2 linked regions of the Neurospora crassa OR74A genome follow. Each later gene encodes a partner of the first gene's protein in a complex. Links are inferred from orthologs where the notes say so. Each region holds a gene or a part of one and is shown on either strand. Other genes may lie near its edges.

Region 1 (4,029 bases):
ATAGTTGAAGGCATGGAGGTTGGTAGCAGCCTCGAGGAAGCTAAAGTGGGTGGGGTTTTCAGGGTCGAACTTGAGCGGGTCAGGGGCGCGCTTGGGTCCGGACCAGAAGGGGGTACCGGTCGAGGACACGGAATCCTTGGGGAAGTTGTAAAGGAGCTGCTGAATAGCGTTGTTGTACTGCTTCTCGAAGAGCATGCGAGCCCATTGGACACAATCCTCAAAGGTGAGCGGGCGCTCGTGCTTTAGGAAGTCCGCCAACATCTCCAGCGTCGCCTTCTCGTTGCCACTCTGCTTCAGGGTAGTGTCGAGATAGTTTGGCTGGGTCAAGTAGAGGTTGACGGTCTCCGCAGGCTTGACAAATGAGCTCTCGAACAGCTCACGAGCCCAAGCAATGGTGTGCTCGATCTTGTTGGGGAAACTCCTGAGAGTGCACATGGGGAACGACTGCTCAGGAGGATCCTGGGAGGAAGAGTAGGACTCAGTGAGCCTAGGAAGCACCACTTGCGTGTTGCCCTTGGTGCCGAGGGTACCACTCTCAAGGAGAGGCTTGTGGAAGAAAACGCACCGTCTGTCGACATACGTTCTCGCCTCAACGTTGTCCAGCGCGTTAGTGACGCCATCCAAACCCTGCCAGAACTCCTCATTGAAGATCTCCTCGGTCTCGGGACTAACGCGATCCTTGAGAGAAACAATGTGGCCTTCGAGGTCAGGGTTCATAGCTTGCGCGGCCTTGGCCGCGCAGTCACTCTTCATCTGACCAACGTCCTTGGGACGGAACAAGAACTGTCTGTTCAAGTTGGACTTCTCGATCGAGTCCATATCGGTAACGGTAATCTTACCCTCAGGGCCTGTTCCGAGACCAATCATGGCCCAGTTCTTGAGCATCTCACAGCCAATGGCGCCAGCGCCAACAAGGAACTGCTTGACGTTCGAGATCTTCTCCTGAAACTCCTTACCAAAGACCGCAATCTGGCCGTCATACCTGCTACCAGTGGGCGCACAGAGTTCCTCGGTGCGCTTGGAGTTGGTGGGAAGAGCCTCGAGCGCATCGAAGTACATGAACTGCTTAATGGGGTGGAACTTGCCCGAAACAGCCTTGAGGACTTCCTGGGCAGTAAGGCCACCGAAGAAAGCGGCCATGGGGTTAAGGTCACCAGTAGCCTGGTAGCTGAGCTCCTTGAGAAGCTTGTCGTCGAACTCGACGTCAACACCCTGCTGCTTGGCAAACTCCTTAGCCGAGGCGATAACCACAAGCGCATCCTCGTCGTTCATCGGCCTTGGTAGACGTCCCTGAGACTTGGCGAAAGCGTGGAGAGCCTGGAATCCAATATGAAGCTGCTGAGGGCGATCGAACTTGGCGAAGTCGGAGATGACAAACTCGGGATCCTTGAGCGCGTTGGTAATGCTCTTGAACTCGATGGTCTTGGGCATTTTGACCTGCTGGTAGAGACCGCCCTTCTTGTACTGGCCAAGCCCCGACACGTCGCCGATAGAGAAGGTGTAGGGGCCCTTGACGGTGACCTTGCGGGGCTCGCAGCCGTTGAGTCCCTCCATACCCTCAACCTCCGAGAAGGTCACATAGTCGCCATCCTCAAGTCCATGCCTGGTCTCGTCAAGCGCAGAAACGAGACCCTCCTCGTCGATGCCAGCCACGATACCGTTAACGGGGTTTTCGCCGTTCGTGTCCATGACAGTAAAGTTATCGCCGAAATCACAGAAGATGCCGCCAAAGAGACCGTGTGTGTTGACAGCAATAAAGTAGATGCCCTTGGAGTGGCAGTATTCGCCGACAATAGTCTGGAGATCGGTGTGCTGGTTCGTAAGGACGACGACTTGGTACTTGTCAAACTGCGACAGGTTATCGGCGAGACTGTACAGAGGCCACGGTTAGCTACCGAACCTGTCAAGCTCACTCCCGTCCGGTTCATAACCTACCTTGGCGACTGGTGGATGTGAACGGGGGTATAAGCATTGAGCTCAGCAACGCGGGGAGCGGTGACCTGGTCGCGAGGCTTGCCGACATCCTCAGGGCGGAGGAAGAACTGGGCGGAGAGGTCGGCCCAGGCGGCGGGCTCGGGGTCGTGGAGGGTGAGGCTCTTGACGCCAGCAAGGGCCACGTTCTTGGCGATCTCGACGCCGAGGCCCTTGAGGCCGACGATGAGGACGTTGGAAGCGCTCATGCGCTTCATGGCCTCGTGGCCCAAGACATAGAGCTGGCGACTGTAGAGGGACTCATCAATCTCGGCCGTGGTGCCGGCTACTGATTCGTCGACTTGCATCCTGGTGACAAGGTCGACCTCGTTTTTCTGAGTGTCCTGGGAGATGGGCATCACGAAAGTGTCAGACTGACTGGCGCTAGCTACCAGGAACAAGCATCTGCCATCCCAAGTAGGATTCATGTAGACAAACGGGGTTTCAACTCACTGTCATGGTTCTCTTTAGAGAGATGGGTAGGTCCCCTTCGGATACTTTGCGCTTCCCCAGCTTGGCGACTGTTGATTACGGGCGGGCCGGTAGATTATAGATGGTGGAAAGTTCGTGACGCAAACAGAGCAAAAACAAGAACGAGAACTGAACCTAAAGTTGTTGATTCGCAGTGGTCGGGTATTGTGATACTTCAAGTTGGCGATGTTGGTCCAAAGAAAACGCCGATGTTGTAGTTGAATGACTCGGGAAAACAGACGACGGATCAAGCGCAAGTGCTACTATGTCGTACTATGTCAAGGTGCAAGTGCAAGTGCAAGTGCAAGTGGAAGTGGAAGCTGTCTGTAATCTGGAAGGTCGGGCGGCGGGGATGTCGAGGGAGGTTCGGTCAGCCCCGCCACCAGCTGTCAAGCATCAAGGAGAACTGCGGGGAATGGTGATGTGATGCACTGTCCGTCGTTGGCCAAGCACCTACCGCTGCAGCGTGCAGGTCGCTGTACTGCTGTTAGTGCAGTGTGCTGTAGCCTTCACCGTATGCGGCCTCGCACCTATTACTAGGTTGTACGTCTGGAAGTGGCTATGCTAGCTATGTACCTCTAGGTACCTCTACCTCGACCCAACCTCGTTTCACACTGGCTGTGCCCTGTCTCCTATCTGATCGGATAAACCTTGACTCAGAGTCTCATTGATGCTGAAGGGAAGCCAATATGTATTGTGGTTCACGCGCGCATGAACCTGGAAGGAACCGTGAGGACAGCAATAGAAGGATCGAATCATTACTAACACCCCTGGCAGTAGACGGTACGAGGCGGTCATGCACTAGAGGTACTTGCCCGATGTACCGATGGCGGTAAAACGTACTTGGTACAGTAAGCAAGGACCAGCCACTCAGCCCATCCGGCAGGCAACTTGTGCTCTCTTATCGTAGTGAGCCAATCACATTCAATGAGGCGCTTGTAGGTACTTCTCCATATTAACATAGCTGCGCGGGTACTTCAACCTTCCCTGTATCGCTTCAACCTCCCGTCATTCAATTAATTCCTCGTCTTTACCCATCAAGGTTCCTCGCAACGTAAACACCAACCATCTGTGTTTTCGTCATCGCCATCACCGACATAAAATCTATCTTCCCAAAAGAACTTCAAGTTCCAGTGGTTTCTTGCCCAGCGGTCCCTACTTTGGCTCGTTGGAGGCGTTGAACTAAGGACCTCGTCTCCTTTTCCCGAGATCAGTGAACCGCCCAGCTACTGGAGACCCTTGAGATATACGTCACTATCACATATTAGCTCGTATCCTTGCTGACGCTATCTTGCCCGCCGCTACCTTGACTGTAGAGACAAGCTGGAGCAAGATATGTGGCATACAGGAGACAACTCACAAGATCAAATCTGCGTTCGGAGGAATGTGGCCGTGAAAACCCCTGGTGTGCAATAAGTCGGGTCAGCACATGGGCATTAACTCCAAATCAGCACGGCCAGAAGTATCGTGTCTGCGGGTGGTGTTACACCATATAGACTGATTTTTTTGGATTTTCAGAAGAAAGAAAAAAAAAAGGCCTGCAGGTTACTCACCGCTCTCCGTATCCGTAATCACTAAAACATATTG
Region 2 (3,952 bases), on another chromosome or scaffold:
TGTCGAGCTACTTTGCTGGCTTTAAGAGCGAAAAGGATGAAGTGGGCGAAGGATAGCCCTGCTTTTACTTTTTGTTGTTATTGTTGTTGTTGCTGTTTGGACGAAGACAGGGCGAACGAGATGATGGGAAGCCAGATTGGGATGTTGTTTGCCTTTACGTTGTCAGACAATGAAATGCAAGAGCTGCTTGATGAGGTACCCGAGCCCTGTACGTACTATGTACAGTAGGTACACAAACAAGGCGGCAGGGGCAGCTTTTGATTGATGGCAAAAACTGCGGGGAATGGGGGGAAAGGTATTGAGGCACTCCGTTAGGTTTTGGCTGAGGGCCGGGGTAAACGTGGACGATGACAACAAAAGCCAAAGAAGAGATGCATCATGATGATCTTGGAGCGTCGGGCAGGTATCCTTCGGTTTCTCATCGGTTTCGGCCTGCTCACAAATTTCACTTGCTGTACAGAAATGGGTATCTCATGAGGGGATGATGGAGGGGCTTCGGAGGTCAACTGCTCGGTCGCTGAGGGGACATCCCCAAGGCCCGGGCCCCTCTTCACTGTTATGTGTCAAGGGACGGAGGTCTTGGGCTCTGACATCGTGCACGGGCTCCAGACGGGCTATTCGGCTCTCTGAACTCAGCGATGCCATCGCGGGGCTACATCCGCTCATCGCTCCATGAAAACGAAAGTTGAGTCTATAGCTCTAGTCTAGACGTTTCCGCTAAATGTATTCTATGTTACTATGAAGCCAGACCGCTTCCCGTCTTTGCCAATGTCTTCCGCTGTGCAAGAACATTGTGGCTGAGGATAGGCAAGTACTTGGGTGACGGTGTGTCTCTGTATGTAAAAAAAAAAAAGAAAAAAAAAAAGCGACCAATGAAATTCCCACCAGATATGCCTGCTTGGGAGACCACGAAAACGCCCAAACACACCGCGAGTGTCCCCGACGCTATGCAAATATGACGGGTTGAAGCAGAACAAGAATAAGAAAGAGAAAGGTATATCATCACCATCCTGACCCGAACCAGACCCAGCCCAGCTTGACAACGGCGATAAAAACGGTTGCTGCTGCTGTTGAAGGAACAACAAGCAAGTAAGCAAGCAAGTCCTTCTATTGCTTGGAGTTGGAATCGTCGTCGTCATCCTCGCTCCCTTCCTCCCCGTCCTCAAAGTCCTCCATCTCGTCGTCATCCCCGGTGTCACTACCACCAAAGTCAAACTCCTCATCCGACTCGGCCCAAAAATCGTCGTCGTTCTCGGCCTTCGGAGGCGGCTTTTCCTCAAAGCTGACCGGCATCTCGAATCCTGGCGGGATATCCTTCTTTGATCTCTCCACCGTTTCCCGGGCCTTCTTGTTGTAATCCTCTCGGCGGTCGCGGTACATGACGCCCGCGTCCACGTTGGCGGGGCTATTGATTTCAGGGTCGTCCAGCAGCAACAGAACCGACCTCAGCACACTCTCGGCGCCCTGGAGCGGCGACCAACGCTCGCTAGCCTGCTCGCCAGACATGAGGTCCTCGCCGGGTGTGTGCAGGATCGAGATGCAGAGCTGGCCGTCCGGATACACATTGGGGTGGGTGATGGGGATCAGGAAGCGGAACTTGGGCGGCTGGTAGGGGTATTCGTCCGAAAATACCATCTCGGCCCTGAAGTACCCCCCGTTAAAGGCGCTGTCGGGGTTGATGACCATGAGGCCGAAGCGCCACTTGAGGATGTTGAGGGTCGCAGAATCGTCCTGTTTGCGCCAAAGAAGTGAGGGTCAGTCTAGGTTCCGTAGTGAAGGTATAGTGATACTAGAATCGACGTGCCGGTACTGCGCCCGCGAACGACAGACCGGCAAAGGAGAAAAAACGAACGGTACTAGGACGTACATCTTCAAAGTGAATCCACTTCTCCTTTCGTAGCGCCTTCATCTCACTCATCAGGCGCGTTGTAGCGCCCGACGCTGTTGTCCTGTACGACATGGCAAAATGTGGTTACGGAAGTGAAGGCGAGGTGCCGGTGGCGGAGGTTGACAAAAGAAAGAATGGGCTGCCGCTGGAAAAGCCCACTTTACTTCGTTGGTGGTGGCGGTGGTGGTGAAGTAGATATGTTGTGGTGGCTCGTCAAGGGATCGACACGTAAAGTGCTGACGAAGATCCCTCTCGTGCGCAAGATCGGGGGCCTCGAGAGGAAAATGGTGGTATTTGTAGTTTGAGGGGATGTTGGCAAGAGGCGGGCGGGTGTTTGGGGAAGATTGTTAGACGGTCGGTGGTGAAGGCCGGGGTGGGTATTGATCTTTTGAAGAGGGATGGAATGATAACGATAACCAAACAATGGGAACAGACTCTATGGAAGCACGGACGGTCGGGATAGAAGTTCACGGTTTGTCACGATGGTGGTCTTTGGGAAGTGGGTTGGAAATCAAGGGCTGGGCGGTGACAATCTGGAACAATAGAGAGGTTGCGAGTCAGGAGAAAGCAGGGTCAGACGGGAGGAAAAGTGGAAGGGCGTACGAACGTCACAACCGGATCAGGAAAAGGTGTGTGAACTACACTACTACGATGTGAGCGATGGAATCATGGCAGGGTCACGCTTCCCTTGGGTTCCTCGGAGCGAGGACCCGGATAGAAGGTTGGGCAGTCTCTAGCACGCACTCTCAACTTAACCTAAGTCTACACGAAGCAACCGACCCAGACCATTTGTGATGGTCCCGTCATTGCCCAACTTCCTTCTCCCATGGTGGTGCAGCAGCCGAGCTGAGCGAGGCACTGAGGAATCCTAACAACTGCATGTCTCGCCTTACGTTTGTTAATGGTGGTCAACACCGCTGCACAATGGCGGTCTCGGGCTCTCGGCATAGGTACCTACCTCTACATAAGACCAATACACCTGACAGGAGTATCGTCAAAGGAGGGAGGCCGTAATCCCCGCCCTTCCATATTATCGTATTGTAATTGCCCGTCAACCTTTACAAAGCAGGCGGAACCTCCCAGAACGGCCTTTTTTTTTTTTTTTTTCTCTGGCAAAGGGGGGGCCCATCAGACAATCATGTACAATCTACCCGCAAGGAGACGGGACGACACGACGGTGCAGTTCCTTTGCCACTGACAAATGAGCATCCCATGGTGATAGGGCATATTGGTGGTGGTCAGAATTGCAGTTATCGGATGTTTCAGAGGATGCACTAACAATTTCCCAAGTACACTAGATCCCGTCACGGTCCACTGAAGCTACAAAGAAGTGACGCAGTTCCATGTTGTCCTGTTGACTGCCCAGACAACAAATGATCGATGCCTTAAATCGAATCCACATTCGCATCTGTTTCCAAGCATCATATACCCGTCATTCACAACACTTTGCTGTAAATAAGAGTAGGTACAGGTAACGTGTTGCCCAACATGAGGGAAGAAGATGGATCGATTCGTTTGCATACTGGCAGCGGTTCCCATTTTCTCGTAAACCATGGATGGGAAACGTCCGTGCCAGGCAGTTAGAAGATCCGGTGGGTAACAGTAGGCAAGGACCTTGATGGTCAGTTCCTCCGCAATCGGTCTTCTTCCTGGCTTCTTGTGTGCGAACGAACTTCTTGTTGGCCAGCAGGGTGATCTTCCCGTAGTGAGATGGTTGGGCGTTTCACTTGTGACAGAAGGGTTAGGGTTCTGTATAGGAGGCTGACTCAGGTTGAGTTGGTGTTTCAGGGGATCACCATAGACGAAAAGCAAGAGGAACATCGGACGATTTGAAAGAGCAGTGATGCCTTCGGGTGGGATTACTAGCCTTACAACTGTATACCTATTATACACACATCCAACCCACCATCGCCAACGTATCCTACCCAGCTAGGCACCTCCCCAGGGCTTCAATACCCTGCCGACCCGATCAAGCCGACAAGTCGTAATAGATGCACCTCCCCGTCCTGAAATTATACACAAACGCGTGCTCCGATCCCTTCTTGGCCTCCCACTCCCACCTCC

The links. Proteins that work in one complex are often made in the same cells at the same time.
Region 2: the proteins of NCU04370 (region 1) and NCU01188 are in contact, whole or in part, in a crystal structure (PDB 6ZHU), measured with the Saccharomyces cerevisiae proteins. The link is inferred for Neurospora crassa OR74A from reciprocal best matches to the Saccharomyces cerevisiae genes UBA1 and CDC34. Residues at the interface, in NP_012712.1 of Saccharomyces cerevisiae: Arg182, Asp200, Arg202, Phe236, Glu584, Ser588, Arg590, Asp591, Pro592, Pro593, Lys595, Ser596, Ile597, Pro598, Leu599, Cys600, Arg603, Ser604, Phe605, Asp650, Leu691, Asn694, Phe695, Pro696, Ala699, Thr701, Ser702, Phe707, Lys712, Pro915; in NP_010339.1 of Saccharomyces cerevisiae: Lys5, Ser6, Thr7, Ser9, Leu13, Arg14, Tyr16, Arg17, Leu33, Asp36, Ser37, Asn38, Ile39, Phe40, Asp69, Phe72, Ser73, Tyr89, Arg90, Asp91, Arg93, Leu94, Cys95, His100, Gln101, Ser102, Gly103, Asp104, Pro105, Met106.

What each region holds. Positions count from the first base shown.
Region 1 is NC_026504.1:3,604,378-3,608,406, reverse strand, and holds the start of NCU04370 (ubiquitin-activating enzyme E1 1), read right to left. Parts: upstream 2,801-4,029; 5' UTR 2,431-2,800; coding exon 2,425-2,430; intron 2,316-2,424; coding exon 1,936-2,315; intron 1,871-1,935; coding exon 1-1,870. Other genes in the region: peptidyl-prolyl cis-trans isomerase fkr-3, read right to left, coding at 3,669-3,696, 3,803-3,844, 3,996-4,016.
Region 2 is NC_026505.1:3,174,799-3,178,750, reverse strand, and holds NCU01188 (ubiquitin conjugating enzyme), read right to left. Parts: upstream 2,460-3,952; 5' UTR 1,961-2,459; coding exon 1,868-1,960; intron 1,732-1,867; coding exon 1,108-1,731; 3' UTR 501-1,107; downstream 1-500. Other genes in the region: cpc-3 protein, read right to left, coding at 3,858-3,952. UniProt on the Saccharomyces cerevisiae protein: Catalyzes the covalent attachment of ubiquitin to other proteins. Capable, in vitro, to ubiquitinate histone H2A. Mediates the initiation of DNA replication (transition of G1 to S phase in cell cycle).